2 linked regions of the Lonchura striata genome follow. The protein of the gene in region 1 purifies or fractionates together with the protein of each later gene. This does not show direct contact. Links are inferred from orthologs where the notes say so. Each region holds a gene or a part of one and is shown on either strand. Other genes may lie near its edges.

Evidence for each region.
Region 2: the proteins of GATAD1 (region 1) and PHF12 purify together in Homo sapiens (affinity purification with mass spectrometry; 7 studies listed by BioGRID and IntAct, with this or other methods). This does not show direct contact. The link is inferred for Lonchura striata from reciprocal best matches to the Homo sapiens genes GATAD1 and PHF12.

The regions. Positions count from the first base shown.
Region 1 is NC_134603.1:133,630,552-133,647,236, forward strand, and holds GATAD1 (GATA zinc finger domain-containing protein 1), read right to left. Parts: upstream 7,998-16,685; 5' UTR 7,935-7,997; coding exon 7,735-7,934; coding exon of another isoform or gene 7,731-7,734; intron 7,701-7,730; coding exon 7,490-7,700; intron 7,204-7,489; coding exon 7,144-7,203; intron 6,044-7,143; coding exon 5,860-6,043; intron 5,101-5,859; coding exon 4,910-5,100; 3' UTR 3,424-4,909; downstream 1-3,423. Other genes in the region: ANKIB1 (ankyrin repeat and IBR domain-containing protein 1), read right to left, coding at 14,723-15,475, 15,809-15,942. UniProt on the Homo sapiens protein: Component of some chromatin complex recruited to chromatin sites methylated 'Lys-4' of histone H3 (H3K4me), with a preference for trimethylated form (H3K4me3).
Region 2 is NC_134622.1:7,572,757-7,588,952, reverse strand, and holds the start of PHF12 (PHD finger protein 12), read left to right. Parts: upstream 1-9,887; 5' UTR 9,888-9,996; coding exon 9,997-10,062; intron 10,063-10,368; coding exon 10,369-10,550; intron 10,551-16,196. Other genes in the region: SEZ6 (seizure protein 6 homolog), read left to right, coding at 2,238-2,807, 2,880-3,013, 3,854-4,046, 4,359-4,544, 4,619-4,787, 5,168-5,334, 5,418-5,612, 5,781-5,919 and 8 more.

The sequences.
Region 1 (16,685 bases):
AAACAAACAGCCTGTCACACATGCCACTCCTTGATGGCAGGAATGTGGGTGGGTAAAACCAAATTGACAAGAGATTTTTTTAAAACAGATTTTTCCCAGATCTTGCACTGTCTTTTCCAGTAATTTTCTAGAAGAGACATTTTTACTTTTTTTCTATCTTTGACCTTGGAGTAAAAAATATTACTGGCCACTAAAAGCTGAAGTGGATGCTTCTTTCCTGATGGTCTCAACTTATTCAGTAGCTGCTGGGTTAAGCTTGACTAGAAAGCCCACCAAGAAAGTACATTGCAATATGTGTCCCTGGCACTGTCCCAGTATTTGTTCCTTTGTATAGCCTTATATGGATATGTTAAGTTTCAACATATCATTTCCACTTATCAATGCAGCAATTAAGCCACAGTCAGGCTCTGCAAACTCTGCAGTCGTGAAGTGGTTCCTTTTGGTTTTGTTTTGGCCAAAAATAAATGCCAAAGCTACTTCCATTTCCTCCACAGTTTGCAATCAGCTTCTCATAAAAAAGAGACAAGTCTTTTACTTTGCCTAGGAGTGGTCTGTTATGACATAGCTTAGAAAAAGAGCCCTTAAGAATGCTCCAAGAAACTCCTTAAGGAGAGGTAAGTGGAAAATTCTGTATGTGGATTCCCACAATTTGGGAAATAGATACCTGAGAAGGGCACACGGATTAAAAGGACAGGTTACTCTTTGCTTTACTTCTTAATGACCTACTGAAATCAAATTTAGGCTTAGGATAGAAGAGGTTCCCAAATTCTGCTTACATAATTCAGATTCACTACCACAAGCAGCATTACAGTGTAATTTTACACAAAAGTAACCTAATTGCAAAGAAAGGGAACACTGATTGCATAGAATTGTACATACACTGAGAAGGATTATTATCAAAGGTATGATCATCTGAATACAAAACTAAACATTCCTATCCAAGTTCCCTAGGGGAAGATTTGTGTTAAAAGGAAAGGTATTTTGTGTGTTTCAATCCTGGATCAGTTGACAGAGGCAGTTTACAACAGGGTACCTTACACTGATGAAGGCAGAGAGGTGTGATGGCCTTCAGCAAAGAAGTGCCCATGGACACTGATGGAGTGTAGGAAGACAGGTGGAACTACTGAGACAACTTTGCCTCTAGACAGCTTCATGAGAAAAGAGGAATACTCCTGCGCTGTTCTCCCTAAATGAAGGAGTTCAAAAGGCGTTGCAGGAGCCCAGTTGCCATATGTAAACAGGTGCCTGGGTTAATTGTTCTGAGTCTAAATGCCCTGCACAGGAGAGTCTTGATATGTTCAGGATAAAACAACCTTCTATCAAAACTAGATTCCAGTAATACTTCTGTTTGATTAAATAGACATCGAAGCACTTTAAGCATTTCATAAAGATGCATGAACCACCTGTAGATGTTGTCCATGAATCTGTTCTTGTGATTGAAGCTACCAAACTAGAAAAGAAGCTGTAGGCCAAATTCAAGAATAACAAATCACCAACTAGAAGGGCTGGGTAAAAAAAGTAAAGTAGTCTTCCTGAAAGTAAGTGTGACTGTGTGGGTGAAAGAGAAACAATTGCCAAATACAAAATACTGTTGTCAGTGATCATGAGATTGTGTAGTGGGGAGCACACAAAAAGAACTATTAACAACTATGAACTGTTGTAAAAGTGTTTCTGCTTGGGCATATAATGTTCATCTTCCATAATTTTGTAGTCTCCTAACAGATGTACCAAATCTAACTGTGTGAAAACAGAATAAAATTGTAATTTGTCTTTCTAATTCAGTAACTGTAAAGAGCAGTTGAAACTTCAATACTACACCTATTAATATTTTTGTTCTCAGCTCTGCAAGGCTATTTAAGGCCTTTATTAATCATAATACATCATATACCACCAACCACAATAAATGTATGCTTTGCTTCTTGTATAATATTAATGTTAAAGTTGAGGGCTGCATTACATGAAAGCAAAGCTATTGCACTGGCTTGGATATTGAGCTGCAGGCACTTAATCCAGCCTCTGCAGGATGACTGAGATGATTGCCATGTAGCACAGCACAGCAGCAAGAGAGGAACCCCAGCTTCATTTTAGGAGCTCAAGGAGCTGCATACTTATTTATCCATTGTGTTTGCATCATATTTTCCCAGAAAGTATTCGGCTCCCAACAAAGCCATTGCCCAAAAGGAAACCCTTCTCCAGCAAGTATTATTTTGGTACAGTAAAGTTCATGTGAAAGTTAAGGGCACTCCTCCCACAAATGTCTTGCAATGTGTGCCTCAGGGCACAGGCCACGTGTCTATTGTGGTACTCAGTATTTTATATATGCTCTGTGGCTTTTAGGTCTTGGCTACAAGTTATATCTTTAGAATTAAAATGCCTTGATGAAAATTACCGTTGGCTGGTCACAAAACTCTGGAGCTCAACACAAGGCCGTAAATTCAGTGGCAATGTATCCACTCACAGTCCAGTGATACAAATATGAAACCTACCTACCTTTTGGCATGGGGAATTACCAAGCTAGAAGACAGAAATGGGTGAGCTCAGCTCCCTCAGCTGCAGGGCATCAAAGCCTGTCCCTACAGGATCCTTTGATATTCTTTCTGCTGTTGAGTCCATTTTGCTGGTCTTCATTTTGTCCTCCATTTTCCTAATATGAGAGAGATGAAGAATTTTCAGATATGTTGCTCTTGGAGGTCCCACTCTTCAGCTGTGTCCATCCATAAGAAGTTGTCTGGAGAGTCAATCATTCTCCCTGTGTTACTGGGTGATGTTCTGAACACAAGAAAAACAAGACAGTGCAACCATTCAAATACCTAAAAATGAAGTTTAACACTTTAGTAACAGTCACTGCCTGCAGATCCAGTCTCTTTTGAGACCTTACACTCAGAATTCTTGTTAATCTGAATTATTTTTTAACATTTCCTAGTATAATAAAAACTACACTAAAATAAAAGTATTTAGTGTTTACTAAAGGAAGTTGTTCTATAGCTCTCTGAAAAAAAATATTTTTGTCTGTTTAGACTGCAGTTGGAACCATAATACTTGAATTGACAGCAGCACTGAATTTTAGAAAGGTATATTCTGTAATTTTCCCTTTTATATTACAATTTATTGACAAATAAGGCAAATGGCAAAAAGTACTTTTCATTTGGTTTGAGTTCCTTGTAGGAACTCAAAAAATCAAAACCATGTAGAGCATTGTTACTCCTATGAGGATTTGACAATGAACTAAGCTTCATTGGACTCAATGACCATCAAGGCCTTTTCCAACCCTGGTAATTCATATAAGGTAAGACAGCCCACAGAAGAAGACAGGTCCATGGATTATGCTGAGGCAGCACAGGGATTTTAGAGTGATCCCAAGTGAAAACCTTGTGGACTGCAGTGAAAGGAAGTCAAAGATTTGAGTCAAGGGAGTCACTCTGGTTACTGTAAATATAGGACTTGTTATTTTTATTTTCTTGTAATTGTTAATAAAGAAATAAGAAGAAAAAACCCAGAGAAACTGAAAGGAGAGAATGGAGAGAAGTGATGTCAACTTGGGATTAATCAATGCAACACACGGAACATAGGCACACATCTCATCTTTCTAAGCTACTGAAGACTAAGATTTAACTCTGTATTACCGATCTACTGCTAATTCCTGAGCATTTTGAATTATTGACAGTATCCCTTAATTTTAGCATCTACTCCCCTAAGGCTGATTGTTCTTCCTTGTATTTGAAGAGGGCAGAACAGAGGCTGCAGGCTGAAACAAATCTGTCTGGTTCCTGCCCTCACAGGTCCCACTGTATTAAAAGTTGTCAATACCTGAGACTTTCAAATGTTACATGTTAAATCAAAGCCTTTCATAAAGTTAGAATATAAGCCTAGTGCAACATTTTAATGCTTTCATACAATACCCTTGGAATTCAAACCATACAAGCACATCTCATTGTGTTTGGAGCTGAATGGCTTGTAAAAAGTTTAGGGCAGAAAACTTCGTTGGTATTTTAGTATGTGGCATTGCTCCCATTCTGCTGTTTATACACATTCCTTGTCATGCTGAGACTGTCAATACATAAAATTAATTAATTTTTATTTCCCTTACTGATTTTTCATTTTAATTGCCTGACTTTTTTTTTTCTTACCATCACTAATTGTGAAGACTGAAAAAACAATTTAAAATCTAAAGCTAACAAGCAAACAAATATTAACAGTCTGAAACTCAAATCATGTGTCAGTGTTGGCTTGCTCAGGAAATGCAAATACACTTCTGCCATAAGGATGCCAGGATGGCAAATAACATTAATTTTTGAATTTGCATCAAATTTTCCAGGAAATTTATGCCCTTATATAAGTAAGTTTAGCAGAAAGCTACACACATAGGCCAATTACAGATTCAGATCAACAAAATTCCATAAAAGGTGACTGTTAGCGTCCCTCTTTACGGATGAGGTTTCAGTCTGCAGAAATCCAGGAAGATCACTTCTCTCCATGTAACAGAAAACTTAACTGCATCACTGACCATTTCAGGATTTAGGTGAAGCTAGTCTTAAATTATTTTACAAAAACCAGCAGTCACAGTTAACTAAATTAAACAGTTATATAAAATGCTGGATGATTGTATCTTTTAAACTCCTCTTCTGGAAAATAACTTAAAAAGTAAGAATGAATGCTACAGACATCAAAGATGACATGAAACTTCTGGTTTTGTCCCAAGATCAGCAATAATTTCTGAAGAGCAAAGCACTGAAATGATGCATCAACTGGAATGAAAATTTTCACTTCAAAGGTCTGATACATCTGAAAAAAATAAATACCATAATCCTTAAAAAAACCCGGCACATTTTATAATTTTAAAACTTTTTGTAAGGTGTTTACAAATTGGAGGATACAAACAAAAGAACTAGTCCAAAGTATTCCTTGAAAACTATAAATTATTGGCTACAGTTTCTTTAATGGAGATTGCAGGAGTAGGTCCCACATGAGTCCATATATAGCCTTTCTCTGGCCTTGTAGGAACAGTAGGGAAGGGAGATGATCGAGATTTGAAATATTCTGAAGGTGCATGACAAACAAATTCTAAATATTCCATTTTCCTTGGGAGATCTTCTTCTGGTCCTAGAAAAAAAATTCAAAGACATAACTTGGAGACATAAAACTAAGTATGTTGAATAAAAATATGCCACAACAGCCAACATTCCCTTACAGAGCTTGCCCTTGCAATCCATGACTTTCCTCCTGTTTTAGGCAATAAACCTCTACCTTTAATTTTGCTGGGCTGATCTTCCCCCCCATCCCATTTGAAGCATTCTGGTATTTGAGTGGACTATTGTAGTTAACATATTTAAAATACATTCTATTTGTGTTCTGCCTGTTAGAGGGACTTTTCTGAATTCCTTATTTTATCATCAATAGCAGAACAGTCTCTATGCTGGTGCTATGTATTTTGAATACCCAGGATAAAGATCAAGTAATTCAGGTCACTTTAAAATAAGCAACTTGGACTAGTATATCAGAATCAAAGTTACTATGGTTTAAACATAGTAGTAATAGTTTAATCAATAGTAATAACAGTAATAATAATAATAAATAATAGTAATAATAGTAATCAATAATTTGATCCTTAAAGATGCACAACTGTAATTCTACCCACAAACACTCAGATAATCACACACTACAATAGTGGTAATCATATTATATACACAAGATAAATAAAAAGTCTTATTACAGTAAATGAGATGTTTACAAGATTAGAGTCTAAAATGTGGAACTTGCATAAAATACCTTGAGAAGCTAAAATGCTGATTTAAAAAATACAACTCTGCATTAGCATAGGCACATCCAAGTAGTTGCATGACGTGAAGGCTTACAGATTACCTATGATGTAGGATGCTGGGTCAAAACAGTCTTTGGGGCTGGCTTGGGTAGGAATGAGCCAGGTTAGTGCAGCACTCTTTTCACAGTATTGGTCCTGAATAAACCCACGGATCTGAGCGTAGTATGTTCTTCCATCCTGCTCATCAACCACTGAAACAACATCTCCAATTTGGTAGTATACACCCTAGAAGACATACAAATGGCACTGAAATCAAACAACCTGATTTTTGTCAGCTTCACATCCTGATTCATGTATTAAGTAGCAGTACTCTAAATTATCCTAATTTATTCCACTCTTGAAAGGCAGCTTCAATTTAGCCACATGCTAAAGAATGGTAGCACAAGAAAGAAAGGTGGTTATTTTCAAAACATATAAAAAGAACACAAACAATCCCAAACAAACTTATTCACAACAACACTGCAAAGTATCAAAGTAGCAATGTTCTACATAATGAGAACAGAAATTTTGACATAGTTCTTAGGAATTTCTGATAAAAACAGACACACATGACAGTAATTCTTTTCTGAACTGGTCAAAAGCAAACGAGATTCATCTGGAATGCCAGGCATGAAACATCAGGTCCCTGGAGAGTATATGGAATCTCACACCACCACTGGCTGTGTAGTCTCCCACTGCCTATTCTGACTTTTTTGGAGAGGAAGAGGGTGAAAAAACATTCTGTTTGCTTATACTGCTGGGAAACAAAAGCAAATTTGAGTGCTTTAGAATACCAACACCTTGGCATGCTGGTAAAGCTGCTCTCAAGCATGAAGGTGAGAAGGCTCCTTCTTGCTTCACTGCAAGTGCCAACAGATCTTGTTCCCAGGGTGTCTGAGACTGCTTGCACCAGCTCTCAAATGGGAGCCAGCTGAGATACTGGGGCACTGCAACCCCACCTCTATGCGAAATATATTCTGCACCTAAGACAGCAAATATCAAACAAATCTAAATAATCGTCTCTAGTCACCTGACCTCTGCACAGTGCAAGTTAAGTTTAAAAATGCTGACAGCAATAATTACAAAAAAAAAAAAAAAAAAAAAAAAAGTACTTTTGCTTGGAAGAGAAAAACCTGGGAAAATGGCAACTATTTAAACTTAGGTAGACTACCTTGCAAGACTTAATGGCAATAACTATGGCAAACCAAAATCCTACACAACTGTTAGGCAAGGAAGAACAGTTTCTGTGATTATATCTCTAGTGCTTTCACTGTCCATGATAATTCCTAACATTGGAAACAGAAACAGGATAATAATTTTTGCAAATAGATTTGCATAAACCATACCTTATAAAAGATTGATTCTGCTGTAATTATAGTGGATACGGACTCAGGAGCCTTGATTGGCTAAGAAAAGAATACAGAAACAGAAAATCAAAAGCATTAAAACAAATAAACCATAAAGTTCCAGAAATGGATTTTTCTTTTAGATAACATACAGATACATAAGAAAACTAGCAAACACTTCTACTTTAAAGCTCAAAGCAACAGAGCTGACGTTTCCCTCTCCAGGATTTATGTGGAGAAGCGAGTGCTGAACTCCCTGACCGGTTTCTCTTCCCGCTGCTCCCGCGGGCTCCATGTCCAGCCCAGCCTGGGGCAGGCTCCCGACCCACCCGCGGCCCCGCCTTACGTTTTTTAGTTTGAAGATGTGCCGCCTGCCCTTGCCCTTCGTGGAAACCTTCTTCTCCGCGGCGGGCGCAGACTTGTACTTGGTGTTCCTGAGCCGAGCGGAGCGGCGGTGGATCTCCTGCTTGCTCTGCGGGGAACAGCGGGATGAACACAAGGGGGACGGCCCGAGCACCCCGGCCGCAGCCCCGCCCGGCCCCGCCCGGCCCCGCCGGCTCCGCCACCGTCGCCCTCGGCCTCCTGACCTGCTTGCCGCCGCCGCCGCCGCCGCCGCCGTTGTTGCTGTGCTGGGCGGCGGCCGCCGAGGTGGTGGCGAAGGCGGCGGGGGGCGGCGGCGCCGAGCGGGCCGTGCAGTTGTTGCACAGGATCTCGCCCTGCCCGCCCTTCTTCCACATGGAAGAGGACGTGCTGCGGCACACGCTGCAGGTGGGCTTCAGCCCCAGCGGCATGCTGAGGCCGGCGCGGGGCCCGCGGGCCCGACAGCGAGCGGCGGGAGCGCGGCGCCGGCCGCTTCCCGGCGGCGGCGGATGTGGCGCGGCGGGCCGGGAGCGGCGGGCCGGGAGCGGCGGGGCCGGGCCTGCCCTCTGCTGGCGGCGGCGAGCCCGGCCCGGGACGGGCGGGGCCCGGCCCCTCAGGGGCTGCTCCCGCCTCGGCCGGGGCCGCGGCGCGGAGAGCGCTGGCCTGTCGGTGCCGGCGGGGTCGGAGGCGGGCACGGGCGGCCCCGATGGTGCAGCTGGGGCTGGTCAGCCTGGAGAAGGTCGTGTGGAGACCTCGCAGCACCTTCGGCGTCTGAAGGGAACGTCCGGGGGAGGCAGAGGGACTCTGTCAGGAACAGCAGTGGCAGAACAGCACAGGGGAGAATGGGTACAAATTGAAAGACGGAGCATTTAGATTAGATATTAGGAAGAAATTCTCTACTGTGCATGTGGTGACATACTGAAACGGGTTGTCCAGGGAGGCTGTGAATGCCTCAACCATGGCAGTGTTCAAAACTGTGCTGGGTAAGACCTTTGCTGTGCAAGACCTGGTGTCGTGGGAGGTGTCCCTGCTCATGGCAGGGGGGCTGCCACTAGATGATCTTTAAGGTAGCTTCCAACCCTTAACATTGTGCTGCAGAAGCCACCTCTGATGCTGTTGCTGTTTGCAGGGGATGCCAGGTGCTGTCATTCAAGGATTTACAGCTGTCACTCTTCTGGCTCAACAGAAAATCAGGGAACTGGAGATGGACTGCAATGATTGTCCTGATTCAGAAGAAAGTGTTGGTGAATGTTAACCTCAACATATGCCAGTTTTTGCCTTCATTTAGATTAAATATTTTGAAAAAATCCTCTGCTTGTAAGGTGGTGAGGCACTGGAACAGGCTGCCCAGAGAAGTTGTGGATGCCCCATCCCTGGAAATGTTCAAAATCAGGTTGGGTGGGGCTCTGAACAACCTGCGCTAATGGAAGGTGACCCTGCCCATGGCATGGGTGGTTAAAACTAGATGATCTTCAAAGTCCCCTTCAAACACAAACCACTCTATGATTCTATGCCCCTCTTGCATGAAGCCTCAGTTACGTATCAAGTAGTTTAAAAGGCTGGGGAATGAACATGTGCCTTTGTGAAGCTTTGAGAACCAAATGTAGTAGGAACCATGGATCTAATAGTGGTTCCTCACCTACTGCCACTCACGTGGCCATGGGCCATCCCTTGTAGAAGTTTTTCTAGTCAGATATTATGAAAGAAATGCCCAGTCATGCATGAGGATTTGCAGTCTTTTAATTCCCATATTCAGTTTATTTAAAGCTTCTTTGGTGCAAATGAAATTGATTTTTGTCTTGTCCTCAGTGGACACAAAGAGCCATAATTTGCAGGAATCTATTAATACATGTTCCCCTCATGCAGCATGCAGTGGATGCAGGGTGTGCCTGTGTTGCTACTGGCTCACAGACAGCTACGTTTAACCTCTTGCATGCCTCTTTCACACCAAGTTTGACTTTCTTGTCTCAGGCACCAAATTTTTATTCCTCAATTTTGATTTAAATCTTCATTTGCCCTCATCTCTTTTCAAGCTGTTTATACTTACCGGGTGCTTTTTTTTTTATTTTTTTTTTTATTTGTTTTCTGTTTCTTTAATGCATCTCTCTGTAGTTGTATTTTGCAGATCAGTGATCTCTCAGAACCCTTAAGTTCTTCCCACTTTTTTTTTGTAGCGTCTGCCTGCTTTTGTTCCCAACCACCCACCTCAGGAGTCTGGGCCCCTCTGACTGCCATCATGTTGGCAGAGCTTCACTAGTCTGTGTAGAAATGGGCTGGAAATGAGTGACAATGTCCATTTCTGTCGAGGTAAGTATCCAATACTTTGTGAAAGTTTTTGTGAGTTTATTATAATATTTATTGTTAATGGAGAGCAAATAAAAATTGCAATAGTTGTTTTTTTCTGCTCCAGTTCTACCATCTTCCTGACTCCAGACTGCTAACCCCTTGATCTTTATGAAATCATGTGCAGGGTCTTTTCTGTCACAAATATAGAATATGTGTGGTTTACATATATGTGAATACTCTTAATATGCTACTGTATATTGTTGATAAATTACCCACTGTGATTATTCTTTCTGCTTTTAAATAATAACTTGAATTTAAAAAATCCAAATGAATAAAGCTTAATCTTTAAGAAACGTAATCTGCGGTGGTAGTTTAAGATAATTAAAAACTGGTTTAGACAACCATTTTTATGTTGTCAGAAAGTTTTAGTTTACTATTTCTTGACAAGTGTGGTTCTGTCAGTTCAATAGAACCACAGTAAAACAACACCTTGAGATTACAGTGTTCTTGGTATGATTATTCTGTTGGCCTTGTGCAAAATCAGAGGCAGGGATTGCTGTCAGTGCAGTTTGTTCATCCCTACCTCACCTGGAAGGTGACACAAAGAACAGTGGTTATGATGTTTTGTCAGAAATTACACCCAGCATGTCAGCTATCTTGGGCAACAGCTGAAATGTTCTGAGAGTTGCTGAATACCTGGTAGTTATGGGTAGGAGAGGTGGGGCTCAGGACTTTACTTAAGTACCTTCTTCTCCAGAGGATCCCAAGCCTTACAACGTCAATCCCAAATTCTGAGCATCCTCTTCAGTTTCCTGATTCTCCTTAACAGAACTAGCCTCTCTTTGGAGCTGGAGTGGGCTGACTCTGTCTGAGGCCTGACTGGAAGTGCCTGATGCAGCTGAGGCATTTTGTGCTGTGTAAGCTCAGCTAAAGTTGCAGAGTAAAAGTTCTCTTCCAGTTAATGTGTATTTTCAGTTTATTTTTCCCGCAGTAAAAGAAAGGGCTGCCCTTGGGAGTCATCAGAGCCCGTCCCTGCTCTGTGAAATTTCCAATGTAGACTCGACAAAGAAGTGGAGGAAATAAAATGTTGGTTCCACCTATGGATGGGGACTGTGGCAGGCACACTGGCTGTCAGTAGAACTCTTTCTCCCCAGGAGCTTTCAGTGAGAATGGTTTTTATTGGAAGTGATGCAAATCCGTACATACTGCTCATTTCCTGCTTCAGTAGTTGAATTGTTCTGCAGTGGATTTAATTGCATTGCTTCCTCCTAGCTTCTTACTGCTATCCTACAGTCAGCTGGCTCACAGCTGAAGAATCCTTTATTCTTATGTGTGTGTCACTGTTCCACAGTCAGCTGCAGAGGATGCACATGGACTGCTTCTCCAGAAATATTTGTGTTGTAAATGCATGAAACTGGGTATAAATCTGATGGATTGGTGCACTCTGGATTTCCACATGGTTATGTTCTAAGGTTCTGTACTTAACAGCTTTCTTTTGAGAAAAGCAGTTTTTATTCCCTTAATTCCCTGGGCCACAACTGATGTTAATCTTGAGATGTGTTACACAGTTATTACTCGCATAAGTAACATGCATCTGTCTTTGCAGCTTTTGGGTCTTAATTACTCATTCAAGCTTGTACTAGAGCCAGGAATTCACCTGGATTTTGTGAGGTTTTTGGGTTTTGGCCCTCGTGAGGGACATGGGTAGGTAAAGCAATGACAGAGATGACATAAAATGATCATGAGTATTTGGTTCTTTCAAGGCATGTTGAAGCTGTCTCCTGAGCCAGACAATTGCTTGTAAAGAAACTGGCTATTACTGTGTCCATGTTTTGGCTTCTCACCACCCTCCCTGACTATTACAGTGGGATGCCTTCTGTGAGGGTGCTGAGGCACTGGAACAGGTTGCCCAGAGAAGTTGGGAATGCTCCATCCCTGGAAGCGTTCAAGGCCGGGTTGGATAGAGCTCTGAGCAGCTTGGTCTAGTGAAAGGTGTCCTTGTTCATGGAAGGGGGATTGGATCAAAATGATCTTCAAGGTCCCTTCCAACCCAAACCAGTCTGTGATTCCATGATCTTGGCATGCTTAGTGGAGGAAGTTGATGATGTAACTGTAACAATGAACAAAATAGTTTAGTGCTACTAATGTAACAGAGGCACTCTGGAATTTCCAGAGTGGATATTAAGTGGCACTTAAGTAACACTAATTAACAGAATCTTTCACAAAAATTAGCCCCCCCTCTTTAGCACCACTACTCATAGTGACAAGGCATCACTCTACAAAGAACAAGTGCACAATATGTCTGTAGCAATTAAGACAAATTCTATTGTATATTTTTTTCAAAGCTTAGTGATGGTCCCCTGTATTTACGTATCAAAACATTCAGCTTACTACATGGTGTCCAACTAATCTGGCATAGTACTGAACATACCCTAAAAATGTCTGTCAGCAGTCTCAAGGATATCCTACATTAAGTCTAAGATGAAATGAGACAGAACGGAATTAGTTTAAGTAATAAATGTTTAATCAAAGAATTTTACATATTATTAACAGCATTCATTTGGCCAAACATCTACATGGTTGTAGTATCCTACCTGTATATAAAGTGGGAATGTATCAAGTATAGACTATGAAAGTGCAAATAACAATTCAAGGTTAGAGTAATTTTTTTACATTATAAAATTAACAGGTTTACAAAATAGTCTTGCCAAACTTTTATTTTTGAATTGTAAAGTCAATGACTATGGTGTTAAAATAAGTACCAAGAAAATACAAATTTAATAGTCTAATTTCATGCTCATAAGAGTAACACAGAAACAATGGATATACTGCACAACCTAACCAAATTACATAAAACCAGAACCCACAAACTTCACTATCTTCACAGAGAGCACTCTTACATATCTTACTGCAACTTTGCAAGACATCTCAATGCAATACACAATCTTTTTGCGAGAATCTTTCTATTCAGAAATTACCATTCAAGGAAGCTATGTGAGTTAAACAACTTTCAGACCAATTCATGATGACAGTTCATGAAGGACCGTTTTAGTTGAAAGACTTTATACCTATAGGTATTTTTCAAAGGCTCAATATTATGTCAGGAGTAGGGTGGCTAGAGGACAAGTTGGAAAATTATTTAGACTATTCTAATGCATTCTCTCTAAAGATGCTTGAAAATTGACAAGGTTTTTATGGGGTAAGGGTAAAATATTCTTATTTCATTTTTTACTAATATGAACCTTGTAACTGCAAGGTTCCAAAGCTGGATTTGCATGAATTAGTTACCAAAACACTCACTTGAACTCACAGTAATCAATACATAAACTTTGCTATCATGACACTTGCCTATACACACTCAGTAGTAATAAACTTTTATATCATATCAACAAATCTCTGGTAACAGTTAAGCAAAACTTAAAATGGAGTGTATGTTATTTGCTCATGTTATGAAAAGTTTTGATTATATGCAATTAAAACAGCCATTTGAACAACTTATTCTAGTTGTAATTACATACTGTACCATTGTAACTCACTAACTGTAGATTGATGCTTTTAAGCAAATCTAAAACCAGTATTTTTGTTTTTCACGGTACAACAACTAGGAAAAGTTTTTTTTGTGGTTTGTTTTTTTTTTTCTTAATTTTCTTTTTTACACTAAACAGTAATCACACAGCAAATGAATATTGTGCAATTGAACAAATACCTAGTAGTGTTTTGTATATGCAAAAACACTGACTGTACATTTAGTTATTTACTGTAAAGGCAAGGCCATGGGTGGTTTTATGGAGGTCTTTGCAATTAATAGCATAGTTACTCCAGAACAAACACTGAATTTGAATTACTTGTTTAACTGTGGCAACTATCCAGTTGGGTTAGGCAAAGGCACCGTAACATGTTGAGCAGGATGTGTTATCTGGACTTTTAATTCTGGGACTGACTAATATATGAAAATTCTGTATTCCTATATTTTTATAAAATGTTATCATTAAAAGTAATTGCACTATTAGTGCATAAAATGCTTTGTAGAATTATGAAAACAAAGAACTATGATTGCACTTCCATTAAAGTGTCTCTTAAAATACAGCATAGCTGTTGCTAACTCACTGTATTTTAATATTTAAAATAACTGTTTAACAGCAGCATTAGGTTTTATTAACTTAAGATACAGGCTACATTTAATTAAATGCAGTCACCATGGCAACATATGCCAGTTAAATTTGGAGAAGCAATGCTACCCAGTGGTTTCTTCCATTGCTAAGAATTGTGGGATTAGTTGGATAGACTAACACTGAACTGTTTCATTAGGCTACTGCCAGTTAACTTTTCACAGTTTGGCACATTTGGACTGTAAATAGACATGAAAAAATCTTTGATTTTAAAGGGAAAGAATATCCCCTAAAACTTGTTCCTGGAGCAGTACTAGAGAGAAGCATTAAATACTTCTGTTCACACTGCTAACAAAAATGAAAAATGAATAAGGAAAAGTTATGGAAAACAAAACCAAAATGCAAATTAACTGCTAGATGTTATTTTGATGAAATTATGAGTTCTAAAAAATTGAATAAACTATTTCTTAGGAAAACCAAACAAAATAATCAGTGTAAGCCTTTAATCTGTACTTTCAAGTTAAGGATCATCAACCTAAGGCTAAACAGATGCTGCATTGTATTAGGAATGTGGAATACAACCTACTTATTCCTTTCTCTTGAGAGCAAAAAGGCAAATACTACCTAATTGAATGCAAAGGATATTCCTTGAAAGGTTCACATCATTATGAAGAACTACAATTCAAGAGAACTCCTAAATATCCGTTGTTATGTCAGTGGTTACAACTGAGCTGCAATTATGTGGATCAAAGCCTCCATAATGCTTACTCCACATACTGTACCATCTGTCACCGCCATTCTTTTACTCCAGATTTAGTTTTTATTCATACCAGATGCACGTGTTCAGTCCATTCACTTGAGGTTTGAGGAGTCTGACTTGAACTATCTCCCGAAGCATCTAGGGTGCTTGTTACCTCCCTGTTACAGTCACCAATTTGTGATACTGTTTCACTTGGAATAATGTTTTCTTCAGAAGTGCTTTCCTCTGTTTGGGTTCCTCTGCCTTCGTTTTTGAGTGCATCCTCAAACAGTGCATGGTCTTCCTGAGGCTCCAGCCCTGTGTCTGTAAGATTTGGTTGCCCTGCTGACCGATCTTCAGTGCTGGGTTGCTGTGACTCCTCATCTGTTTCTGTACTTGTTGAGGGGATCAGAGCAATACTCTGTGGGTTCATGTCATGAAACCAGGCCATAATATTTCCAAGCAGATTTTCATTGGTATTGGGATCTTGACTGCTGGAATCAGCATCGCTTGAAGTTGAATACAATCCACTTCTTGTCTCGCTGCAGGGGTGGGAATGAAGACGATCAGCTGAGAAAGGATCATTGCCTGCTCCCAGTCTCATCAGACTGTCACCAAGTTCTAGCAGCTCAGAGCTGCTCAAAGCACCCCTTGGGTTGTCCATACTTATGGGAGCAGCATCCAGTCTTGTAGGCAAAGAGGTACCTATTGCTCCTAAAGATGCCTCATTATTTAGAAAGTCTCTAGTTTCTTCATCTATGGCCAAGCCAGATTCTTGTAATGACAGCTGAATAGCTAGCAGAATGTTTGGGTCATCTTCATCCAGAGAACTCAGAGCCTGTGGAAATACATAAGGTTGCTCTCAGAATAAAACTTGGATCTTATTACATATTTTGGATGAAAAGTAATTCTGGCTCAGATCTGAAATTCATTCATTATTCCTACATGTCCTTTGTGAGAATCAATTTTTACCAACAGAGCTGACAACACAATTTAAAAGGTAACTATTGTTATGTCAGTGATTGTTCAGCAATTCTTACCATTGTGAATGTGTAATTCTCCCTTTTTCCTTGAAGAATTAAGACAATTTGCAGAGACAAAATGACACAAAAGGCAGAGCAGAGCAGAGCAAGCAAAGCAGAGAGAATGGAAAAGAGATTAGGGGAGATACCTGAAGAGAATCCTGGTTTTCAGAGCGACTGACAGGGGTATAGTCATGAAGCGAAGAGCTGTGCAGAATACCCATAGAAGCTGAACTCACCATGGAGGTGCCATGTCTTCTACTGCTGCCACCTTCCTGAGTGTCTGTTTGGACAACCGAAACAAAAGTGGTTGAAGAACCAGTGAGAAAACCTCCTCTGCTATGATTTACTGACAGAATCTCTTCCTTCCTTTTGGATTCTAGTGTAATTTTACTCCTTTATTCACATCAGCTCCTTATCCACATCAGCTTTTACACAGTGGTGAAACACCAATCCCACTGTTTTAGGAGTGACTGCCTGGCTCATTTGTCCTTTCTGCCCTCAAGACTCTTCTCTGTGAAAGCATGGGCTATGCCATTGGGAGCATGGGCAGAAGGGGCAAAGTGCTTCTAAGGCACATACATGATTTATGGAAAGCCCTGAAAATTACTGCATGTGGACACAAATACAGGATGCATTTGCAGGTGGATTACAAATCCCATTTGCCCATTTCTCTGTTCTTTCAAAGACAAAACCTCAGCTATAATGTTAACAGTATAATAATCTTTACTGTAACATTGCAGCACAATTAAGAGTAGAGATATTAGTGAATTCTTCATCGATTACTGACATTGCTGTTTTCTTAAAACCAACAGAAAATAGATGTAAGATGCTGTTTCCAGAAAAAACTGCTCTGTAATAAAACTAAATGTAAATCTTTTAACTTTGGAAAATGGAATTTTCCACTCCAAAACTCAAAATGTGATAGACTGAAATAAAATAATCTCTTGCATGCTTTAATAGTGTGCACTTGGCCATCACTACTATCTCCAAAGCATTCAGTCAAAGTCTAGTCCTTGAACTAAC
Region 2 (16,196 bases), on another chromosome or scaffold:
GGCTCCCTGGGCGGCCGCGTGCCGCCTTATTTATTTATTTGTGACAGCAGGCAGCATCGATTCCCGCCGGGGGGGCCGGATTAGTCTCTGGCATCTCCCGGCTGCTGTTAATAAACTCCTGCCCGCCAAAGCCAATGGGAGGGATTAGGACCCATCCCGGCTGTGACCGTGGCCAGCATGTTGAGGGACCCCAACAGGTACATGGCTACCGGGGGCTTGGCAGCCCCTTTGCCCACCCCGAGTTCAGCGGGGTCGCTGTTGGGGGGCAGGGCCCAGAGGGGTGTGTGCTGGGTAGCCAGCCCCACGTCAGCAGTCCCTGGTCACCTTGGGGACATGGGAGGAACATAGCTGTGGCACTGGAGATAAGCTGCTTAGAGACATCTGCGGAGGATCTAAGACTGTGGTGTTCACGGGGCATGGGTGGCAGCAGCTGGGCACCCTCTGCCTTCCCACGGTGTCCTGAGCATCCTGCATCCCCAGAGGACCGAGAGTCCCAAGCATCCCCTCGGTGCCAAGAGCATCCTGCGGTACCCAGAGCCTCACACAGAGCCCAGGGCAGGGCCTGGTGCCAAGACTGCCCAGCCCAGGGCCCTCAGTGTCCAGGTGGGACCTGTTGTAGGGTCCTTGCTGTGAGGCTGACCTTAGCCAGTAGCCTCCATGGGAACCACCATGCCCCCCAGCACTCATGCTCATGGACAGGAGTGTCCAGGGGTTGGGTGGGCACCTCTAGCCCAGCCTGCACCACACAGGGCAGTGCTGGTGGTGCAGGGCCCAGCCCTGAGCACTGATCTGCTATTAAAGCCCAACAGAGATTTTGGTGCCCTTCAGTATAAACTCATTAACTTTTATGTTCTAATAAACGGAACCCATTAAAATATAATTCTGGCCTTGCTGGGGTGCAAGCAAACCCCTTGGAGCTGGTGAGGGCAGGTGTCCCTGCTGTGCCTCAGTGCCCAGGGCATTATCATAGTCCCGGCACGATGGCAGGGGGGTGCTGGGGACAAGGGGTGGGTAGCAGCGGTGTGAGGATGCCTGCCAGCACCCAGCAGCTCCCCACTACGCTGCACACCCAAGATAATGTCTCTTAATAGTCCCTTAAAAGCAGCAGTCGCAGAGTAATTAATCTTCGCGGGGCCCTGCCCTGCTAAGGATAGGGATAATTACCCGGTAATTGGCAGTATCGTGTCATCAGTGCCTGTGCACGGTAGTCAGACGTGCCCACACTACCGTGGCCTCAGAGGGATGCTGGGTGTCACCATGGCACCCCGGTGGCACTGAGCTGTGCCCAGCAGGAGAGGGGACGGTGCTGTGCCGGATCCAGGAGCGGGAGATGCTGGGTGACTCATTAGGGCTGATTAAATTCTTTTATTTTTGGTCTAAAGGCCGTAAGCTGCTGGGCTGGGCATGCTGGGGATTTGTTCAGGGACTAATGCCTGGGAGGGACACGGGGGTGACAGGGGAATCCCTATGGCTGTGGGTGGGAGAGGGGGGAGCATCGATGGGATGGGGGGCTCCCGACAGACCCACACTGCTCAGGGACAGCCTGCCTGGGAAGAGGCTGAGCTCTCTGGCAGCCTGGAGAGGGGTGCAAGTGTCCAGGCTCCCGAGACATTCCTGGCACATGTGGTCATGGTAATCACCTGCATATCTGCACCTTGGGAATGTGCAGACCCAGGAGAACCTTGGCACGGGATGGCCACTTCTGCGGTGAAGGATAATCTCTGACCAGGGATACCCAGCCCCAGGGCTGTCCCCATCCGGGGTGGGCAGCCCTTCACATGGTACATGCTGCAGATGTGCCTTAATTAGCCGGGGCTTAATTGCTAGGGCTGCCCCAGTGAAGGGTATGCTGGGGAGAGGGTGTCGCAGTCCCGCTGTGTGTGGTTGATGCATTTGTTTGCCAGCCTGGTTTTGGGGGAATACTGGTGTGCAGGGAAGCGTTGGCCCTTGGAGCAGCGCTGGGCTGTGGTGCAGGGCTGGCCCATGGGAAGTGTTGGTCCCCAGAGCAGCACAGGTGTGTGGCAGTGCAGCAACATCACTCCCCAGAGCTGCATCCACACCTGATACAGCACCAGTCCCTGTCCAGGCCCTGGTCCCGGGTGCCACTGAGGGCACAGTGCTGGTCTGTGATGAAGCATCACCCCCTGGTGCATCACCAGTCCCCCGTTCCCTCTCAGTCCCCAGCACAGCATCGCTCCACATGTTCCCCAGCATCCCAAACTCTTTCCTCCCTCCAGGCTTCAATGGGCTGGCAAGGAAGACAGGGGAGAGCGCTGAGGTGGAGCCGACGGCGCTGCCCACGCCGGCGGAGCGGGAGGCAGAGGCTCGCTTCGTGAGCACGGCGCCCACGCTCAAGATCCTCAACCACCACCCGCTGCTGGAGGACCTGCTGCACGAAGCCTTCCTGAAGAAGGACTACCTGGCCCAGGCGCCATTCCTGCCTGCTGGAACGGGCCCTCTCCTCCCTGCTGGCGCCCTCCAGCCTGCCCCCGGCCCCCCAGAACCTGAGCCCTCACCCCGCACCCCTGCCCTGCCCCGGCCTGCCTTCCCCACTGACCCGCTGACCACGCCAGCGGGGCGCCCCGGGCCGTGGGGGGAGGCGTGGGGGGCTGTGCCAGGTGCAGACCCCTCGTGGTCCCCGTCTGGGGTGCCAGAGTCAAGCACTGCATCCCCCAGCCAGGCCTCCACCACGGCCAGCACATCCCTGGCACCCCGAGCTGGGGCCACCGTGGTGCCTGGGGATGAGGAGGGGACCACCACCACCTCCACCATCACCACCACCACTGTCACCACACTGCAGGGGCCAGGTGAGAGCCAGGGAGGGAGTCAGGTGGAACCAGGGTGAAGTGAGGCTAAGCTGGGGTTTCTTCTGTCACCAGCTCCCTGCAACCGGACGCTGGCGGGTCCCGAGGGCTGGCTGGTGTCCCCAGAACCAACTGGTGTCCCCTATGATGGCAGCCTGGACTGCACCTACAGCATCTCTGTCTACCCTGGCTATGGTGTGGAGCTCAAGGTGAGCTGAGGGCTGAGGGTGGGCCAGACAAGTACAGACAAGTGTGGTGTGCTCCCTACTCTGTGCCATGGCTGTGTGTCTGTGCAGGGTGCAGCAAACACGTGGTCTTGTCCCTGTCCTTGTCCCTATTCCTGTGTCCCCATGCCAAGAGAGCTGGCTCAGGACACTGCCTACCCTCAGGCCCCGGCACAGGGATGTGGGTACATGAGCTGGTGGGATGCCCCAGGATGCTCTGTGCCCACCAGCTGCTGTGGCTGGCACCCATCACAAAGAAGTGCTGTGAGATTTAATTAACGAAGCCCTAATGGAGAAGGTGTGAGCAGTGCCAGCAGGTGCCATGCTGTGCTGCAGGGTCAGGAACACCCAGCACCCATCTGCCAGGAGCAGAGGCTGACAGCAAACCCTGCTGTGCTGAGGCCTTGTGCTGCTCCTGGCAGTGGCAAATGGCCACGTGTCCCCATCTCTGCTGAGGCCACCGCAGGGCAGTGGCTGGTGGTGAGCCAGAGGCAGCACGTCCACCACCAGCCCCGCTCCAGCCCGCACTCACCAGTCCTGCTGCTCCTCACCATGCAGCACGGCTTAATTAGCATCATTAATAGCAAATTGCTCCAGAGGGCAAGGCTGGCTGTCTGCAGGGCTGTGCTGTGGTGCTCTGGCAGAGCCGCCGGCTGGGCCCTGCTGCTCTTGGCGTGGGGGATGATTTATGGCACTGCTAACCATGTTTGAAAGGTGCTGCCCTGCACAGACAAGCTCCAGTGGGCTATCGACCGCAGAGAAGCCACTCAAAGACCAGCTCCAAGGCAGGTGATGCTGTGGTGGTGACACTTGTGTCCCCTGCAGGTAGAGAACATCAGCCTGGCAGAAGGGGAGACACTGACAGTGGAGAGTGCGGGGGGCCTGGAGCCCAACCTCCTGGCCAACGAGTCCTTCCTGCTGCGGGGCCAGGTCATCCGCAGCCCAGCCAACCTCCTCACCCTCCGCTTCCAGAGCCCCCGGCCCCCCAGCCCTGGTTCCTACCACTTTCACTACCAAGGTATGGGGCTCAGGCCCCTCTGTATCCTCTGGGAGCTTCCCTGCCAGCGTGGTGCTAATTTGGATTGTGGAGAAGCACCTGGAGTTTATCTGTGTTTTAAGTGGGCACTGACTAGGTGAGGAACGCTCACGGAGAGCTAATTGGCCATAGCAGTTATAGATTAATTGAGCATAATTCTCAGCAGCCATAGGCACTGTGTCACTCAAGCCCTGCCACACCCAGGCATTTCCAGGGCTCTGAGGAGGCAGTTTCTGGGTTCTGGGAGGGGTTCCATTGCTCCTCAGCCTTGGTAACACCACCACCTGCCCCCAGCCTACCTGCTGAGCTGCCCCTTCCCAGCACGGCCGGCTTTCGGGGAGGTCTCGGTCAGCAGCCTGCACCCTGGCGGGGACGCCCGTTTCCGCTGCTCCACGGGATACCAGCTGCAGGGCGCCCGCCGGCTCGTCTGCCGCAACGCCACTCGCCCCTTCTGGAGCGCCCGTGAGCCCCTCTGTCTCGGTAAGCACGGGCACCACGGGGACACGGGACGGCTGGCACGGCAGCATCACCCGCTGATGGTCCCTCTCCCCCAGCGGCGTGTGGCGGCGTGGTGCGGAATGCCACGGTGGGACGCATTGTCTCGCCCGGCTTTCCCGGGAACTACAGCAACAACCTGACCTGCCACTGGCTGCTGGAAGCGCCGGATGGCCACCGCCTGCACCTCCACTTCGAAAAGGTGTCACTGGCAGAGGACGATGACAGGTTTGGCACAGACTGGGGGGGCTAGGGGTGTGGGGGCACCCTGGGGCAGCCCCTCACGGGGCCATGTGCATGGATGAGTGCTCTTGGCTATATCCAAGGATGGGTGCCATTGGCCCTATCCTAAGATAGGATCTGTCATGGATGGGTGCCGTTAGTCACATTTAAAGATGGGTGTTGCTTGCCATGGCCAAGTGTGGCTACCTTTGGCCACTGGCCATAGTCAAGGTGCTGTTGGCCACATTCAAGGAAGATAACTTCTGGCCATACCCAAGGATGGTGCTGTTGGGAATGGCTGGCGTTGGAGGCTACCATCCATGCCCAAGTGTGGCTGCTGCTGGCCATGGCCAGCAGTGCACCCTGGCCTTGTCATGCCTTGTCAGGCTCATCATCCGCAACGGCAACAACGTGGAGGCACCGCCGGTGTATGACTCCTACGAGGTGGAGTACCTGCCCATCGAGGGGCTGCTCAGCACCGGGCGCCACTTCTTCGTGGAGCTCACCACTGACAGCAGCGGGGCCGCTGCGGGCATGGCGCTGCGCTATGAGGGTATGGGGCCAAGGGTGTAGCGGGTGACCCAAACATCCCTGTGCCCACCTGGCTCCTGCAGACCTTTGCCCCTGTGCCCGCAGCCTTCGAGCAAGGGCATTGCTATGAGCCCTTCGTCAAGTATGGGAACTTCACGACCAGTGATCCCCGGTACCCCGTGGGCACCACGGTGGAGTTCAGCTGCGACCCTGGCTACACGCTGGAGCAGGGCTCCACTATCATCGAGTGCGTCGACCCCAGTGACCCACAGTGGAACGAGACAGAACCAGCGTGCCGTGGTGGGTGCTGGTGCTAGAAGGTGCTGGGGGTTGCTGTGTAAGGGGCATGAGAGATACTGCAGCCACCGTGCTGTTGAGTGTGATGGAGCTGAGGGACATGGTGGGTGCGGGATGCGGGTGCTGTGGCAGGTGCCCCGTGGCGGTGCCAAACCCGGTGTGTGCCCACAGCGGTGTGCAGCGGGGAGCTGACGGACACGGCTGGAGTGGTGCTGTCACCCAACTGGCCAGAGGCATACGGCAAGGGCCAGGACTGCATCTGGGGGCTGCACGTGGAGGAGGACAAGCGCATCATGCTGGACGTCCGCGTGTGAGTGCTGGGATGGGCCGGGATGGGGATGGTGGGATGGTGGATCTGTGTACTCCCTGCCCTCACGGCCCCACTGCCCCAGGCTGCGGCTGGGCTCGGGGGACATGCTGACCTTCTACGACGGGGACGACCTGACGGCGCGCATCCTGGGCCAGTACACGGGCGCCCGTGGCCGCTTCAAGCTCTACGCATCCACTGCCGATGTCACCGTCCAGTTCCAGTCCGACCCCGGTGCCGGTGCCTTTGCCTATAGGCAGGGCTTTGTCATCCACTTCTCCGGTGAGGCCCGTGGTGGGACAACACCCCTGGTGTCCCCAGTGTCCCCACTGCCCTGCTCAGCCTTCCATGCCCACAGAGGTTCCCCGTAATGACACCTGCCCTGAGCTGCCAGACATTGCAAATGGCTGGAAGACGTCCTCACAGCCAGAGCTCCTCCATGGCACTGTGGTTACATTCCATTGCTACCCCGGCTTCCAGCTGACTGGCACGGACCTCCTGATGTGTCACTGGGACCTGACGTGGAGCGGTGACCTGCCCTCCTGCGAGCGGGGTGAGTGGTGCCCACCAGTGACCCCCTGCCCTGCAGCGCATCCCCAGCTGCTGTCACCACCGGTCACTCCTGCCTGCAGTGACAACCTGCCGGGACCCTGGGGATGCTGAGCACAGCCGCAGGGTGGTCTCCAACCCTAAATTCCCGGTGGGAGCCACCGTGCAGTACGTCTGTGACAAGGGCTACGTCCTGGCGGGCGCTGGGACCCTCACCTGCCATGACCGCGCTGCGGGGGGACCCAAGTGGAGCGACCGCCTCCCCAAGTGCATCCGTGAGTTGCGTGTCCCCTCCTCGGGCATATCCCCCGAGCCGAGGTCGAGCGCTGACGCCGCCGTACCCCTGCCTCGCAGCGGAGACCTACGAGCCCTGCCACAACCCCGGCGTGCCGGCGGGCGGGCGGCAGAGCCCGGAGCGGCGGCTGTACCCGGCGGGAGCCACCCTGCGCTTCTCCTGCACCGCCGGCCGGGCGCTGCTGGGCGAGAGCAGCCTGCGCTGCCTGCCCGGACACCCCTCCCGCTGGAGCGGCTCCCCTCCCATCTGCAAGGCGGGTGAGACCACCACCCCCCACCCCGGCACCCCGCCGGCACCGCTCAGCACCCCACTTCTCACCCCTGGTGTTGGTTTCTTTCTCCCGCCTCCTCCAGCCTCCTACGATGAGTTTTACAGCAACCGCAACCTGGATGGTAAGGGCGAGGGTGTTTTGGGGTGCCAGAGCGTGGAGGGGCACCCAGGGTGCGGCCGATGTGGGGTGTCCCCTGGGTGAGCCCCCAAATGTCCCTTTCGGACAGCTGTGGCCAAGGCCGTGCCCTCGGGGACAACGCTGGAGGGCACCAACGTTGCCATCGCTGTCTTCCTGCCCGTGCTGGTGGTGGCCCTGCTCATCGGGGGCATTTACCTCTACTTCTCCAAGTGAGTGGCCCGCTGGCCCCTGTCACCCCATGCGGCCCCATGGCCCCCCACTACCCACCCCAGCTGCCCTTTCCCCACAGGCTCCAGGGGAAGCCGGCTCTGCAGCTGCCCCTTGCTGGCTCCCACCCCTATGACCATATCACCGTGGAGTCGGCTTTTGACAATCCCACCTATGAGACAGGAGTAAGTACTGGCCTCCACGCCCCCCGTCTGGGGCTGGGCACCCTGGGGACCCTGCACTGCATGGGCCACCTGTGCCAGGGGCTGTGCATGGGCTGGGACGGGTGTGGGATGGGGTCATGTGTTCCAGGAACCACACATTATTTAGGAGACGCATCCAGGAACAACACAGGGGATGGGACATGCACCCAGAGACCACCCATGGGATGATGTATATCAGGATGGACATCCAGTTGGGGACCACACACAGGACAGGACATCAACCCAGGGACCACATGTGGGGTGGGATATCCATCTAGGCACCACACATTGGTTCAGACAACCATCCAGGGATCACACACACTATCTGGGATATCCATCCAAGGACCATGTACAGGATGGACGCTGATCCAGGACCCATGGATGGGATGGGACATGCATCCCCAGGGCTGTCGTAGTCTGGGATGTGCCCCCAGGTCTCTACGGGATGGGAGATGCCCAATCCCTGTCCCAGGCACCCCGTTGCACTGCCGAGTGTCCAGCCCCTTGCAGTCTGTTTTCTTTGCAGGACACGAGGGAATATGAGGTGTCCATCTAGGTGTGGGCAGCGTGGAGCTGGGCGCTGCAGCCACCCCTCCCGGGCCCCCCCGTGCCCACCGGCCCCCGGCACGGGCTGGGAACACCTCTCCCAAGGAGACTCAAGCCGAGCGCTTGGCAGGACCCACCTGGGCACCGGCCACCCCCCTGCCACCCCCAATTCACCCAGACCCCCGTGGGATCTGCCCGAGCCCCACTGTCACCCAGCCCCCCGCACTGGGCTCGTGAGAGGCTGAGCCAGCGGGGGTCCCCGGACCCCATCCTGCCCCCTGAGCCAGCGGGGGTCCCCGGACCCCATCCTGCCCCCTGAGCCAGCGGGGGTCCCCGGATCCCATCCTGCCCCCTGAGCCAGCGGGGGTCCCCGGATCCCATCCTGCCCCCTGAGCCAGCGGGGGTCCCCGGACCCTGCCCTGCCCTTCGGGCTCCATCCTTCCCCCAGACCCCGCAGGGGGAAAGCAGCAGCCCCACAGTCCGTGCGGCGGAGGAGTGACACGGGCAGGGGGAGCGGCGCTCTGGGGACCCACAGGTAAGGACAGGGCTCCCCGGAGCTGCAGCGAGCAGGGGACAAAGCCCCGGGGGTGGCCGAGGGGCTTGGGTGGCCATGTGGGTGTCCCCCCGCCCCCCACCCAGCACACAGGGCTGGTCTCCCCACGACCCTGTGTCTCCCAGCGCCGCCACGCAGGGACGTGTCCCTCCCGTGTCCCCAGCATGCTGCGTGTCCCCCCGGCCCCCGCTTGCTTCGCCCTCACCGGGGGGGTCCCTTCCGCCACCAGCGTGTCCCCAAGGCGCGTCCCGGCACCCGGAGTGACGGGGCGGGCAGGGACACCGGGCATGGCTGTGCCGCCTCCCACCGCCGCGTCCCGCCCGGGCTGGTGGCCCCGGCCCCCGCCGCCCCCTCGGTCTGGAGGGGACGCCGCCCCCCTCCCCATCTTTTGGTTGTTTCATTAATAAAAAATGGTGTTTTAGAAGAAGCGATGGCGTCTTCTTCAGCGGGGCCGGGCAGCTTGGAACGGGGATACACCCACACATACCCCCCCCACCCCACCCCAGCGTGGGCCCTGAGCCCACCTCATCCCGACCCCCATGACACCGCGACCCCCACGCCCCCTATCCGGTGCGCTCCGGGAGGGGAGCACTGCCGCTTTAAGAGGCGTGGTCTCTGCCGGGGTGACGTCACGAGAGAGGCCGCGCGCCGCGCGCCCCCTGCCGACGGGCGCGTGCCCCGCCGCCCCGCCCCGCGCCGTTACGTCACTGACGTCCCCGGTGGCCCCGCCCACTCGCTGGAACGTGACGGCCGCCACGCGCCTGCGCGAGAAGGGGGCGGGGAAGGGGCGGGGAGGGGCGGAGCCGCGCGGGGAGGCGGAGCCACTGCGCGTGCGTCCCGCCGCCCCCCCGCCGCCGCCGCCGCCGCCGCCGCGCCAGGTCCGCGCGCGGGAGGCGGAGCGGAGCGCGCAGGCGCGCGCGGGGCGGGCGGGGCGGGGGCGCGGAGTGCGCGTGCGCGCGGGGCCCGGAGCGTCGGCGCCGCCTGTGCGCGGGGCGTGCGCGGTGCGCGAGCGGCCGCGGCGGGCGCCGGGCCGCCGCCCCCTCCCTCCCTCACACACCCACCCCCTGCGCGGCAATGGCAGCGGGCGTCGGGCCCCCCGTGGCCGCCCCCGGGCACGGCTGGAGGAGGAGGAGGGCGACGCGCAAGCCGCAGCGGCCCGTGGGATAGGCCCCGCCGCCCGCCCGCCCCCGCCGCGCCGCGCCCCCCCCCCCCCCGCCGCCGACTCGACGCGGAGCCGCCGCTGAGGGGCCGCCGCACGTCCCCGCCTCGCTCCCTCTCGCCCGGGGGGGGCTCTCGGGGCCGCTCCTGGGCTGGATGAATGTGGGAGAAGATGGAGACCAAGACGATCGTCTACGACCTGGACACCTCCGGGGGGCTGATGGAGGTGAGGCCCGGGACGCGGCGGGGGGAGCCGGGCCGGGGGGGCAGATGGCGAGGGAACCCCCCCAGCCCGGAGCCCCGTGGCCTTAGAAGGAAGTGCGGAGGGACGGAGGCAGCTCGCCCTGCCCCTGGAGAGGCCCTGCCGGACACTGGGCGGGCGGGGCGGGCCCGGCCGGGGCTCTGTCCCCCCCGCGATCCCCTCCCGGAGGGCCCGGGGTCGCTGTCCCCCCGGTGGGCTCGGGGAGAAGGGCGCTGGGTCAGCGTCCGTGCAGCCCCTCAGAGCCCGCTCTGTCTGTGTGTGCATGTGCAGCAAATCCAGGCCCTCCTGGCTCCCCCCAAGAGCGAAGATGGGGAGAAGAAGAGCAGGAGGCCCGAGAAGGAGCCCAGGCGAAGTGGCAGGGCCACTAACCACGATAGCTGCGATAGCTGCAAGGAAGGAGGGGATCTGCTGTGCTGCGATCACTGCCCCGCCGCTTTCCACCTCCAGTGCTGGTAAGGCTTGGCGCTCTCTCCCTCCGGATCTGCCCAGAGCACCTTCCCTCCGGCCGCTCCCGCTTCCCGTTAGGTCCCGGGGAGGGGGGGGACGTGGGGCCGGCTGGAGCAGACAGGAACAAAAAGGAGGTGCAAACCCCGCTTCGGTCCATCCCTCCTCAGACTTAACCCACGGCGGCCGAGCTGAACCCTCCTCTGGCTGCTTTCTGGAGGGTTGGGGGTCCACCCTCCTCCTTTCTTTTTGTGCTGAGCAGCGGGCGAGAGGCCTGGAGGAGGAGCGAGGCCGCTGGCTGCGCGGCCTGGCTGCCTTGCTGCTGCCCCTGCCCGGCCTTCCGCCCTCCCCAGCGGGAACCTTCCCCACTCCCCCCTCTCCAAGGGTGCCTGGCTTGTGGGAGACCCTCCGGAGGGCTCTAGCTGGAGAGGGGGAAACCCTGGTGGCGTCTCCGCACCAGGCCTGACGTTCCCAGCGCTTCCGTGCTGCTGCAGCTGCTGGGAATAATGGAGGTTGCTGTCTCTGTGTCTCCCTGCCTCACTGTTTACAATATGGCGACCTTCCTTTAAATTATATTTTTATTCTCAGCGCCATTTTGGCTGCATATATGACTTCCAAACCCTCGCAACACTCCCCACAGTATCTCAAACGTGAAAATACCTTCCCCGTGGAAATCCAGGCCTCCAGGCTTTAACGTTGGCCGGGTTTATTCCTTTCCCTCCTTTTTTCTCTTCCTCCTTGCTCTTCCGACCTGCTTGCCTGCTCCGTGGGGGTGTCTGCCGTGAACTGGGGGGCTGCCGGGTGCTCTTGCTGGGAGTTGTGTGGCTTTGTTGATGAAGGCAGAGCTTTCTGCATGCAGATCTGGCTGCCGGCTGGGAATCGAGGTGCGTGTGGAAGCGGTGGCAGAGCTCGAGGTGCTGGAGGCTGCAGCAGGATGGGCTCTTGCTGCCTTCCCTCACAGCTTCCCAAGCTCTCCCCGCACAAAGCGACACCACGCCAAAAGCGCCTCAACTTTCCGCCCCAAAGTTTTTCCTTTTTCTGCACCCGGAGCTTGGATGCATCCTGAAATCCCCCCTTTCAACAGTTGACAGAGGCGGGCGGTTTGTGTTAAATTAGCACTGCCAGAGAGGATAATGGAGTGGAGGAGGGAGCGGGGCAAGTCAAACAGCTGGAGCTTGGGAGTACAGAGTATTCTTCCTTAGGGGAGATTTTTTAACCACATTCCTTTCTCTCTTTCATGCTTTGGAGCTTTGTTTGCCACCCTGTTACAGCTGTCTCCTCTGCGCTTTTTTTCCTCTCTCTGTTGTTTTTTTTTTTCCTTGCTTTTTTTTTCTGATTTCCATTTGCTTGCTGGCTATTCTGTATTTCTATGCTAATTGAGGGTCTCAGAACACTTACTAAACTGGTTGCTGATAGCAGGGAAGCTGAGTGTGCGGTCACAGTCCTGTAGGGAGTGTCCCGTTAGCAGCATGTAGCCAGGCAAAGCCGACAATGCTGTAGCATGCAGCCATGACATCATCCCTCCTACCCTGAGGAAGTGCTACTGGTGGTAGTGCAGATCCTCTAATATTTCCTAGCAGGATAGTAATTATCATTATTTTTCATCCAGTGTCCTTGATGAGTTTTAATTTAAGGGTGGTTTTTTCCTTCTGCCGGGCGTAGTTGTTTTTGGATGCAGCCAAACGCGTCCTGAGCGTTCTCCTAGCGAGGCTGAAACTTCCCATTTTGGGATGGAAGAGCTGTGCCTAAGGCTGCAGAGTTAACTCTGAATCCTAGCTAAGTCTGACCATAAATGACACCACTTTTTGCCTAAATTTCATGGCTTAAGTTGGCGTTGTTTTTGTAGTTAGTGAGTAGGGAACAACCAGGTAAATCAGATACCTGAAAAGCTTTCACTGTACCTGAGCTAGTTGCATTATAATTGTATAAGAATTTATATAAAAATATTGTATAAAAAATACATATATATATCTTTGGCTAACTAGTCACTCTTCAGAACAGAAGTGAAAGAGCAATTCTAAATACTCTCTTTCACTCCATTTGTTGCCTCTTCTGGGGTTTCTCAAGCAATCCCTTTGACAGTAGCCCAGACCCTGCTGTGGGAGGTGGCACAGTGTGGAAAGGCTTTGTCTAAAGGCCTCCAGCTTGGGTCTGGTTCTGCCTCCCTCCTCCTGAACCTTTGTTGGACCCTTGGCTATGGCCTTCAGGTGACCTAGGTTGTCTCAAAGGAATGCTCAGGTTTTGTTTTCATGTGTCTTCCTATTACCTCCTACACTTTGCTGAAAGTAAACTTCCATTCTGGATATAAACTTAGGCATAAAGAAAGGCAGCTCTTGCAACTTCCTTTCTGCCTCCTTTTTTTTTTTTATTTAAAGAATAGTAGCTGTACTGGAAGGCTCGGTTTAAGTCACTTGAATAGCCCTGCTGGAGCACTCTTAACTGATTCGTGTCAACAACTTACCTGTTCTCTGAATATTTATTGTGAGCTTTAGTACCAAGTTGAATTTATTATCAGTATAGCACAACAAAAAAAAGTAGCTTTTAATTGGTCTAGGGTATATGAGCAGTTGATTTCAACTGTCTGGGAGAGGCCATATTACAAAAGAAAAGGATTTTCAGGGGTATGATTGGCTCAAGTCATGCAGTCAGCTGGAGACAAACCCAGCTCAGCTTCGCAGGAACTTGTGTTGCTCCTTCCTGTGTAGAGAAGGTTCTTCTGTATCAAGATGTTTAAGGCTATAGTGAGTAAGTTGGCTTTGCTAGGTGTGTGACCCTCAAACTTCAGCAGTTTGCCTTAACTTCAGTTTAGCACTTGAACCCGTTGTCCTCTGTGGAAAACAGAAGGCAGAGGCCAAAACTCCGGAAACGTTTGGAGTCTGATAGTATTACACATCTGAGATGGTAAATAACAAGTGTTGTTGGTACACTGTGGAACGACTGCTCTCCTGAATTGACGTGGGTGGAAGTGACTTCCCAATTCATCTGTTGGGGTGTCAGTTTTTCCCACAACTCCATTTTGGAGTCACTAGTTCAGGAAAGCTGCTATGGGTGCTCTGAGAAGCCAGAGGACTCCAGCCTGGCTGGAGATAAACTGGCTTGGTGGGAGGGATACAGGAAAGTGTGAAATCCCTGCCAGATACTTAGTTTCAACATACTTGGATTAATATCACAGTCAGGTGACTCTCTTCAAGTTTGAATTTACAGAGGAAGGTTTTTTGGGTCCCTAGGAATTCTTGAAAACAGGACATGGGATTTTTAGCTCTGAAGTTGTTGTCTTGTTCTGCTATTTGCCCACAATCTGCTGCTTTGGGTAACAGTGCAGAGTGCATTTCCATCCTGATGTTCTGCCTTAGCCCAGGCCCCCAGGAATGGTGCATACTCCTTCTTTACATGATTGAAAACCAATTTTCCAGTGCTACTTCTATTCTTTCCCATTTATATCCTCCTTCTGGCAATGTGATTGTTAGAATTCCCTATGTTTTCTTGAGCTTGTAGTAAACTTGATTCACATTGAAGTGGGTTTGCAAAGTGACTGATGTTGCAAATTCATTACGAAGGATTAGAAAGATCCCCGGGAGAGGAAAAGTTTAGTTAACAAGCTGGGGGAGGGGAGTGACAACAGGAGGGAGAACCAACACAGAACAGTTTTGTGTTTGTTTTTTTTTTTTTCTCCCTCTTTTTGTTTTTTTAAAAAGTCTCCCTGCCTGAGTTTCTGGTTGGAGGAGCCCAAAAGCACAAACCTCGCTGAATGCTGCGGTTCAAGTCCCTCTTGTAAAAATCTCATGCCGCTGGCTGTGCAGCTCTGCTGGCATGGCAGAGTGACCTCAGTCCCTTAAAGCTCACCAGTTACGTAAATGACAGTGCCAGTTTTGTGGCACGGCTCAGCAAAACGTTTCCTTGTAGCTGGGCTTCCTCACTGCTGTGCTGGGAGAAGTGTGTTCTGTCCGTACCAGGGCCTGCTACCTCCATCAAACTTTTTGCAGCACCTCCTTGTGTTTATATTTGCAGTGTTTGGCTCATTTCCCCTCCGATTTGGCAGTCTTCACCCAAGTGCTGGTGTCAAAGAACAGGAGTAACAGAGCTGCAAAGTGCAGCAGAGGAAGCTAAACTAGCATTTTGGTATTTTCTATGAGTCACCTTGTTTTAAGTGCTTCGAACAAAGAATGGAAAAAAGTTGTGTTTGGCTGGTAGGGCATCAATAACTCTTTCCTCACCTTATTCGGCCTAAAATGCCCTGTTGACTTGTTCCAGCTTTGGATTTTTACATGAATATGCCATCTGTGAGTGGAGAAAAACAATGGCCAGTCTGTTGTCTCAGTTAATCCTTCCATTAATGGTCATCTTGGGCCTGCCTCAGGTGTTCCAGGTGAATCTTAGAATGGTCTGAGGCATCTCCTGCTGCAAGGAGTAGCAGGATGTCCAGGAAGATGCTGGAGAGGCAAACTTCTTACCTAATAGTGCCTAGGAACGGGTTTCAGTACATCAAATTACATCACAGCTTCAAAAAAGCTTGTCATTTTAAGTGGAGGAAGCTTTTATTATGAGGCTTTCTGTTTATTTGGGTTTTTTTAACAGTAAATGATTGGCAAACCCCTACTTTAATGTTTATGTAATTGCATATTGAAGGTCAGAGTAAGCTGTTCTGTTCCCAACATTTAAATGTATCTATCTTCACCGATACTTTGTTAAAACAATATTGGTTTAAGTATGTGCTTTTAAAAAAACCCCGACTTTTGTTTTTATGTGTCGCTGGTTCTGATATTTTGGGAGACTTGGGGCCAGCCTAGGCTGGATCCTGAGGCAGGAGGAAGTGATTGCCCTGGCTGAGTTTCTGGCAGCAGAGGGTCACTGCGTGTGCGCCTGCAGATGTGGTAACATGATCAGTCTTGGCAGCTCTGCTCAGCAAAGTTGTACCAGTGAGATTTTTCACTCTCCTTATTTTGTCCTAAATCTCTCTGTGCAAAGGCAGATAAGGTCAGCCTAAATCTATGGACTTCAGCTGGGGGCTTCAGCAAATCATTCACAGTACGAATTTGAGGAACTCGTGATTGGGTGACTGGCAAGCCACCACTCTCACCTGGGTGTGGGGATGTTGCTCGTGTTAAACTGCGCATGAGCAGATTTTGCACTGTGGGCAAGAACTGGGGATTTGGATTGAACCGTGGGTCTCTGCTGCAGTTCCCAACATCAGTGTGGAGTGATAGGGGCATGGCTTTGGGATTCTAAAGTCGAGGATTCAAAGTTGAGGAGGGGGATGTTTAGCAACTTGACTTAGGCTTTGCCTTCAAGACGTGGCTGCTGCATGGACTGGTGTTTCATCAAACACCTGCTTTGTTCCAAAGCTGTTTAAAATGGCACAGTGGGAGACTGTGAACAAGGAAAATTCTCCGTGGTTTCGTACCTTGGCTTGGGAAAGTGCCAGTTTTATGTTGACCACGACTTGTGGAACTGAGAAATCTTTTTTTTGTGCCACTGTGAGGTCCATTTTTGAGTTGACTCTTCAGGAGCAGGAGGCTGCAGGGTTTGCTTCGAGGTGGGGTTCACTGCTTTGTTCCTGCTGCTCCAGAGCTGGTCTTTCCTGGTATGTAAGCCTGCAGGCATGACTCATGGGAGCCTTTCACAACACAGAAAGGTCTTCCCAGAGGAATTCCAGC